Oryzias latipes: one gene and its partner. Each later gene encodes a partner of the first gene's protein in a complex. Links are inferred from orthologs where the notes say so. Each region holds a gene or a part of one and is shown in the gene's direction. Other genes may lie near its edges. The genes, in order: gdf11 and fst.

Evidence for each region.
Region 2: the proteins of gdf11 (region 1) and fst are in contact, whole or in part, in a crystal structure (PDB 5JHW), measured with the Homo sapiens proteins. The link is inferred for Oryzias latipes from reciprocal best matches to the Homo sapiens genes GDF11 and FST. Residues at the interface, in NP_005802.1 of Homo sapiens: Asn299, Leu300, Gly301, Leu302, Glu310, Arg312, Asp328, Trp329, Ile331, Ala332, Lys334, Arg335, Tyr336, Lys337, Tyr347, Met348, Phe349, Met350, Pro354, His357, Gln361, Ile380, Asn381, Leu383, Phe385, Asp387, Lys388, Gln389, Gln390, Ile391; in NP_037541.1 of Homo sapiens: Leu34, Arg35, Gln43, Val44, Leu45, Tyr46, Lys47, Thr48, Arg60, Ser62, Asp72, Asn73, Leu75, Phe76, Met79, Ile80, Leu134, Asp135, Arg149, Gln153, Pro154, Glu155, Val180, Val181, Asp182, Gln183, Tyr188, Val190, Thr191, Asn193.

What each region holds. Positions count from the first base shown.
Region 1 is NC_019863.2:27,063,973-27,068,395, reverse strand, and holds the start of gdf11 (growth/differentiation factor 11), read left to right. Parts: upstream 1-1,610; 5' UTR 1,611-2,002; coding exon 2,003-2,417; intron 2,418-4,423. UniProt on the Homo sapiens protein: Secreted signal that acts globally to regulate anterior/posterior axial patterning during development. May play critical roles in patterning both mesodermal and neural tissues. It is required for proper vertebral patterning and orofacial development.
Region 2 is NC_019867.2:5,754,208-5,758,512, reverse strand, and holds the start of fst (follistatin), read left to right. Parts: upstream 1-1,258; 5' UTR 1,259-1,414; coding exon 1,415-1,505; intron 1,506-2,612; coding exon 2,613-2,810; intron 2,811-2,970; coding exon 2,971-3,189; intron 3,190-3,332; coding exon 3,333-3,557; intron 3,558-4,126; coding exon 4,127-4,305. UniProt on the Homo sapiens protein: Multifunctional regulatory protein whose primary function is to antagonize members of the transforming growth factor beta (TGF-beta) superfamily including activin, myostatin, GDF11 or bone morphogenetic proteins (BMPs).

The sequences.
Region 1 (4,423 bases):
TTCTGGCTAGTTGTCAAGTCTAAAGTCTTCCCCACATTGAACCGAGCGGAAAGGATTGAGCTCAACTGAACCAATTTAATGTCATCTGGCGAACCTGTGCCGGTGCATTGAGTGTAGTAGATGATTAGTTGGTGAAACTCAGTTTAAAACATTCATGCCCAGCAACCTTTAGTCAGATTTCTCCAGAGTATTCCATCCATCCATTTTCTTAACCTTCTATATCCCTTGAGGGTCAAGGGTCATCAGAGCCTGTCCCAGCTACGGGCGGGATACACAGGTCGCCAGTCTGTCACAAGGCACACAATCACTCCCACACATACCAAGGGACACTGTAGAGTGACCAATTAACCTATAAAGCATGTTTTTGGACTTTGGGAGGAGTGCCTAGAGAAAACCCACTCATGCACATGCAAACTTCACACATTTGAACTAGAACCTTCTTGCTGGAAGGCAAGAGCGCTAACCACTGCACCACCAGAGTATTCCAATCTTCTGAATCCTGTTTTTGTAGGTTTTATGAGCTGGAGCCACACGCTATGTAAAAATAATAACAAAAAGTACTTGAAATCAATTAAACAGTGGGCCCTGAAGCTGAAAGTTAACATTTTTGAACGGAATAATGGAAATGAGAAACTTTTTCACAATTTTCTTTTTTTTTTAGAAAAGGTCTGCATATGACCAATTACCAACATTTATTTAGACATTTAAAAATAAAAATAAAGTTATCTAGAAAATTCAACATTTAAAATGATAAAGGAACAAACCTGGAGTTGCTCCACACCTGCAACAAGTTCATGCTGCTGTGAAGATGGAAGAGCTCTAAAGCTGCAATTCTACTTTCTTCCAGCAGGTGTCAGCATTCAGTCGATGTTTCAGAAATGTGCACACAAATGAAAGTATCTGGATAACATCATAACGCTTTACAAGATTTAGAGGGAAAATACAATTAACATCCTCTATTACTTTAAGTATGAGAAACGAATTTAACATTTTGATTAAATCCTGACATGTTTACGAGAAAAATGTGAGACAAATTCAATGCAGAACAGTAAAATATATTAAAACAATAATTAGTGCTCTTTTTTTTTCACTGGATCCAAGCTTTCAAACGAAATGCAAACTTGCCTAAACAGATATTTTGTTGTATGTTTCTCTAACACGCCTTAAACCCTAATTTCTGTCACAAGCTTTTATGTCTTTTCAAGCACATACGCTTTATTTTTTTTAATATGAACGAAATAATACTACTTTTCAGCTTGGAGAGTCTTTCTGTGTATTTCAATACATATGAATGTATCTGCAAAAAAAAGCGCACATGGCACCATTATTTTAAGTGTTTGTGGACAGATGGACCACTTTGCAAGACGTTTGCTTCTCAGATGATTAGAAAAGAATCTTTTTAACTCATATGAGAGGAAAATGAGCTTTTGTTTGTGCACTGTAAAACATTTATACTTTCGCAGGAGTGCGCGCCCTCCCTTCGCTCCATCCCTCTTGACTTGGTGACAGACCTAAAAGCCTTTTGTTGAAATCTTAGCCAATAGAGACGGATTACGACACCAGGCAGCTGTGATATATAAAGGGCCCTTTTTTTAGGCGCACTTGCACATTTTTCAGTGACACCCCTGAACATACGCACACCTCCATGGATCAGTTTGCACAGGGGACCCCAAAACAACCACTGACCTGTACGACACGTGAGCTGGCTATGCATTCATCACTCAGATAACCTAACTTTCAGCCAAAACAGTTTGTACCGTGACACGCCGGGACGCACTTTTTTCCTTTTTGTTATTTTCTTTTTCTTTTCCAGCCACACACTACTAAAAAAGCATCTTTGGATTCATATTTTTTTGGATTAGATGTATGTCACTGATTGTGTGCCTTTTGTAGGCTGAGGAGCGGCTCATAATCGAAAGAGGATATATAACGGAATAAATCGAGTCCGAAACAAGAGAGGGGAGAGGGGAAAAGTTGCCTCTCCTGGTGTCCGCGCATCGTCATGCCGAAGTACAGCTTTCTGTTGTGTTTAGTGGTGCTCATCTCCCTGGGAAAGTCAGGGAGCGATGAGCCCAATCTGCAGCTTCCTCCTGGCAGCGAGACGCCTTCGGATGCCGGACTGTCTCTGCTGGACGAGGACGCAGGTTCTCACGAGTGTTCCGCCTGTGTTTGGAGGGAGCAAAGTAAAGTATTAAGACTGGAGACCATCAAGTCCCAGATCCTGAGCAAGCTGCGTCTGAAACAAGCACCTAACATCAGCCGAGAGGTGGTCAATCAGCTGCTGCCCAAGGCGCCTCCGCTCCAGCAGCTCCTGGATCATCACGACTTCCAAGGAGACGCGACGTTGCAGGATGAGTTTATGGAAGAAGACGAGTACCACGCCACCACGGAGTCCGTGATCACAATGGCCTCAGAGCGTAAGTAACTATTTACTGCCCCGCAGCGACGGTCCCTCCAAATGCGCCCTGTGCGTAATTGTGGAGCAGATCGGTTCAAGTGATTCAGGCCTGCTGCGCGGACAGCGGAGCCGCTGTGGTCACTCAAGTGACCTCACCTACTTTTTTTATATTGAGATTGGGGCTCTCTTTGTGTGTCTAAAGCCGGCTGATAAAATTAGACAAGTGACCCCTCTCAGCTGTTCCCCACAGCTGTCAAAATGAGGATTATATGAGTTAACCTGAAAAATCAATCATGAGAAGGAGCTTAGGAAAAAAGACAGAACCAACACCGCCTGTGTGCTTGGTGATGCACCCCAGTGCGCAGAATTTATTCCGATCCATCTGTAAACTTTCAGTTTGTTCCATGCGCGTTTGACGGACAGGAAAGGCGTGGCGTGCGTGTTTGAATGTCAAGTGCATTATTAATGATAATGGAGCATTTGGCAGACGGTTGCCTCAGTTTACCCTCTGCGTCCTCGTTTGCATGATGTGGACCTTAAAACTCTGGAGTTATGATCGCATCACGAGGCTCTCTGGTTATTATTGCCTCCCAACAATTTGCTCGCTCTCTTATACTTTCCCATAAATCCACAGGCAGGCCCCTTGGAGACATTTTATAAAATTACTGCTGAACCCCGGCAGCTGGGCTCGATCGGCCTTTTATAGGAGCCTTTACCGGTTTCCCTGCTGTTCATCGCAATGAGAAAAAGTGTGTCCAAAAAGCTGCCATTGTTCCCCTCATGCAGCGGGCCCCCCTCGGTCGCACTTGCCTTTTAAATGCGAAGTTTATAGGCACAGCTAGTTTTTTTTAAACCACTGGTACACAAAGGCAGAGGATCACTTAGGGTCGAGGGGAGTGTGTGACCTTTTCTTGACGAATCGAGGGGTTCAGCAACCTTTACGCACGCAGTATATTCTTCACGAGGCGTATCTATCTATGTATCTATCTATCTATCTATCTATCTATCTATCTATCTATCTATCTATCTATCTATCTATCTATCTATCTATCTATCTATCTATCTATCTATCTATCTATCTATCTATCTATCTATCTATCTATCTATCTATCTATCTATCTATCTATCTATCTATCTATCTATCTATCTAAGTTTTTTAATGGACCATAATCTATAATAGCACCATGATTCTATTCTCATATTAATTAAGGATTCTTCTTTGTCGTGGATATTGTGTGCTGCAGCTCTTCCTCTTCTTTTGCAGATCATATTATCTTCTGCTTTTTATAGTTCAGTCTTACAGATAATTTTTATCAATAAAAGACATATTTGTGCCCAAAATTGTCCTGTTTATGCAATATGTTTGACCCCATGTCGCCTATTGATGCTAATATGAAACAAACCACTTCAGCTCCAAAATTAGCATCTTCCCTGAAAGCAAAAACATAAGTGATTTTATTCTCATTTCTGCATAAATTCAGACATCAAGGAGTCAAACCTTGATCAGTAGTTCAGTAATATTTAATAAAAATGTGTTAAATTATAATAGAAGCTCTTTCTCAATTTTATTCTTTTTAAACAAGAGAAAAGTTAGAAAGTTGGGAAGAACATTCATTAACCTCTAAGGACCTACATGCATCACATTTGGGGTTATATTACCACAGAAGTTAACTCCGGAGCCCTGTACCAGTTCAGAGGGTTAGCTATAATATTAGCTCAGGTTTTGTGACGTTTCTTCCCTTTTTCTGTTGTCACAAACACAAGCAAAATTAAGTGCTAAATAAAACCTAAATAAAGCCTGTTAACTGTACCATTTTGACGGGCTCATGCCAACCAGAGGAGCTAACAATCCAACTCTCATAGCCAAATCTTTCAGGTTAGAGCAAGCCTCCTCTCATCTTTTTTCCCAGCAGTTTGGATCATCTGCTCCCCGTCTCATCTCCACCTTCATCCCTGTTAGCCCCTCATCCCCTTTTGCCCTCTTTTTCTTCCAGCTTTCCTGGAAGAGTTGAGAGAGAATGAGTG
Region 2 (4,305 bases), on another chromosome or scaffold:
ATGCAGACTGTTTACCATTTCAAAACGTTTTTTGTACTCCAAAAAAAAGAGTATTTCATGAATCTTTTGACATTTTTTGGAACTTAGAATGGAAAAATTGGGAGGGGTGATCAAAGTTTATCACCCAATTAGTTCATTAACAATAAAATTCAATTACTGTAGACATTCAAACTTGATTATACATTTTATTTCCAAGCATTTCTGTCTGCTAGAAGCACATAATGAAGCCCTCGCCTTGAATTGAGGAGGTGACTGTGCCTTCCAGTCTGGGCCTGTGTGCACGCTACCCAACAAGTTTCCTGATTGTCGTGCGTGATTGTGCTTCTGAGAATAACCTTTCTGAAAATATGGAAACGTACTAGTAGTGATACTTGTTCAAACAAGCAGGGTACAACCTGCATCTTGTCGGAGATCGTCCTCTTTCAGGAGGATTTTCTTTCATATTTTGCAAGTAAACGAGACAGAGCGGTGATGTGTTGACGCGGATCGGCGCGTCCTCGGAACTCCCGGCGCGCAGCAGACGCTGCGCTCTGAGCGGCACAGGGACGCGGCACCTGAGTTCCGCCGAAGAGGTCGCGCAAGGACTTCTGAAGGAGTTCCGCGCGCGTCTGCTCCAGCCAGCGGATCTGCGCGCGCGCACGTGTGTGTTTGTAAATGTGTGTGCGTTTCATTCAATGAAACGCAACACCCCAGTTCTCGGTCTCATCGGAAACAGGTTTGATTATATTTAAAAGCTTGACCCGGGAAAGAAACCCAAACAACTGTCTGTTCTAATATTAGCCGCGCGGCTGCCGACTACTATGAATTCTATTATTGTCTGAGCTCGGATATGTTCTCAAAGGCAGCTCATCAAAAGATTTACACTTTTGTCCGCAGTTGGTGGACAAATATCAGTTACCAATCATCTTATCCCTAGATTGAAGGGACTGCGAGATGATCTGATGGGTTTCGTTACCCTTTTAAAGAAACGCAATTCTTCAAAATATAAATTTTAATATTAATGTTAACATTATTATTGCAAGAAAAAAATAGGGAATCCGAGTCTCATATAGTAAACAAATGTTATACTTTCATATTTTTCTTTTCTTCACTCCTCTTATAGCTTCAGGATTCAAACGTCTGGCTTTGCATAACAAATATTTCCATGCTCCTCTCAGCGCAGGGAAGGGAAAGTTCCTTGTAACGATGTCACCTGACTGGGATTGAAAGAACTTGGGTAAGAAAAAAAAAAAACACATCTCCCCACCCCCACAGAAGAGGGGACCGCCCACCACAGACAGTCAACCCGAGACCCCATATAGATTTAAAAAGAGAGGCTGCATTCTCAGACTGACACTTATTCAGCCCTGCCACCTTAAGCAGATTACTTTTGCGCTGCTTGTGTCAAATACGTGGCTCACTTTGCCTCTCCATCATGCTTGGGATGCTCAATCACCACCTCCACCCGGGCATTTTTCTCTTCTTCATGTGGCTTTGTCACCTCATGGAACATCAGAAGGTTCAAGGTAAGCTCTCCTTGTCTGTCTCCTGACTTTTTTTTTTAATATGTTTTAATGTAGAACCTCTAAACGCGCGGATGCAGGAATCTCGTTGCCAAAGGGAAACTTTCCAGAGTGACTTCTGGTTCTTCTTCCTCCCAACGACCAAAACTCTGTGCGCCAGACGGCGTGCGCGTTAACCCTATATAAAACAGGTGCCATGTGGTAATGGCTTCAGACTTCAAAGTGGGGAAAATGGCACATTTCTGCAGCCCTCGGCGGGCTCACGCGCTAGAAGCCGCCACGCAGCGTTCTGTAAATATCTGCACATATTTCAAGACCTTTATGTGAGCGTTGAAAGTGTTTAATGAAGCTGTCGCCTGCCCTCCAACAAACTTCAGAGTGGCCACAGATAGCTTTATGAGCAGTTTATATTTATTTATTTATTTATGGCACACACCCTTTCAGCTTTTGCGCTCGAATTTCTTCCTTTTTCCTTTTTATTTTTGCTTATGAAATAAATGAGCAAACCTCAATTTATGTTGGGGTTCCAAATTCCAAGAGATCTACCATAAAACATCATGTCATAGACACATTATACCAACATAAAAATCAAATTTTATAGCAATTTTGTTATAGTTTTTTGAAAATGTGTCAAAGGTTGACATTTCTGTTTTTTTATGTCATATGACTTTGAATTAAATTCCCCCATGTGTCGCAGACATGTCAGTGTCTGGTACATGTCTGGGATATTTTAGTGAGGCGTTGGAGATGGTGGTTTGTTCAGTCTTGCTGTAAAGACCGTGGTTTTCGTAATGATTGAGCTTCGCTGTCTAGACGATTCAGTTTGTGCGCAATGGCAACAAGGAGATTTTTGGAATAAAAGAAAAAAAGATTCTTTTTTTACTTTTCTAAGTTTGCATTGTAAGAGCTGTCAGTCACAGTTGGGATAGGCAAGTGTTAACAGTCTTGGAAAAAAAATCTGACAAAATACCACCGGGAGGGTGAAAGAGGAGGGAGGGAGCGTTTCAGATAATACAATCCGCCTGCGTGTCTGGTGTGTCTGGGTCTGTGATACACGTTCAGCGAGCGATACTCAAGATTCTTTTCTTTTAATGTTGTTGCTGTTTGCAGCCGGGAACTGCTGGTTGCAGCAGGGAAGGAACGGGAGATGTCAGGTCCTCTACATGCAAGGGATGAGCAAGGAGGAGTGCTGCCGGAGTGGAAGGCTGGGAACGTCCTGGACCGAGGAGGACGTTCCCAACAGCACGCTCTTTAAGTGGATAATCTTCAATGGCGGAGCTCCAAATTGCATACCTTGCAAAGGTGGAGGTGCACTCATTTTCCTTGGTTTTTCGCATAAACTAAAGCACACCACCAATCAAACCGATTATGTGATTAACGCATTCAGCCAACGTAAAGTATCAATGTGTCACTCAATGTCAATCATTTTACGCACACATTCCTTAACGCGGGGGTGTTTTTCTTGTAGAAAGCTGCGATAATGTTGACTGCGGACCTGGGAAGAGATGCAAGATGAACAGAAGAAGTAAACCGCGCTGCGTGTGCGCTCCAGACTGCTCCAACATCACCTGGAAAGGACCGGTCTGCGGCTTTGACGGGAAGACCTACAAGGACGAGTGCGCTCTCCTGAAGGCGAAATGCAGAGGCCACCCCGACCTGGACGTGCAGTACCAGGGGAAATGCAAGAGTAGGTGTTTTTTATTTATTTATTTATGTTTTTTTAATTAACTTTTGAGTCTTTTCAGGCTGCAAGTGAGAGGAGCAGGAAGAAAGAGCGGAGTGGCTGCTGCATTGATTTTCCCATTGACATCATTTTCTCTTTGTCTCCAGAAACGTGCCGTGATGTCTTGTGTCCTGGCAGCTCAACATGCGTCGTGGACCAGACAAACAACGCATACTGTGTGATGTGTAATCGGCTTTGCCCTGAGGCGACGTCACCTGAGCAGTACCTGTGTGGAAACGACGGGATCATCTATGCCAGCGCCTGTCACCTGAGAAAGGCGACCTGTCTCCTCGGCAAGTCTATCGGAGTTGCGTACGAGGGAAAATGCATCAGTAAGTCTGTAACAAGAGATGTGAAAGCGTCACACTGAACCCCCTGACACAGCGCCTCCTTGCAGCCACTTTGATTGTGGCTACATTTTCTCCCTGGCCACCTCTGCAGTAATGCACTTCTCGTTTCTGCCAACATTCCAGTTGGGAGGAGGTCTCAGAGAAAGAGGGTGTTTGGTACTTGCTTGTGTTTGCTCAAGAAATGATAGACATCTTATTATTTCCTGATGTTGGCAGCACTATCCCATATGGGAGAGAGTGAAGGCGAAGTGGAGGAAGTTAGAGAGCAAAACAGGGGAGAGCTGGGGGCCATGAAGAAAAAGCTGCAAGTTTTAGGCCAAATGGTTTCCTATCTAGATAACAATCAATCTGAGCCATGTATTTTCTGGAAAAATGCTCACCCTGAATGCAACTTTGTGTTCCTGATGCATCTGATAAGATAGATGCTGTTTGTTTGTTTTTTCCAGATAAATGCACAGAAAACCCGAACTAATCTAATTCTGTTAAAAAAGTTTTTAGACGTGTGGAATCTAAGTAGCCACTGATGATGATTTCCTCGTCTCTTCATCCAGAGGCAAAGTCATGCGAGGACATCCAGTGTAGCGGAGGGAAGAAGTGTCTGTGGGATTCTAGGATGGGCCGGGGCCGCTGCTCGCTCTGTGATGAGTCCTGTCAGGAGAGTAGGACAGATGAGTCGGTTTGTGCCAGCGACAACACCACATACCCCAGCGAATGTGCCATGAAGCAAGCT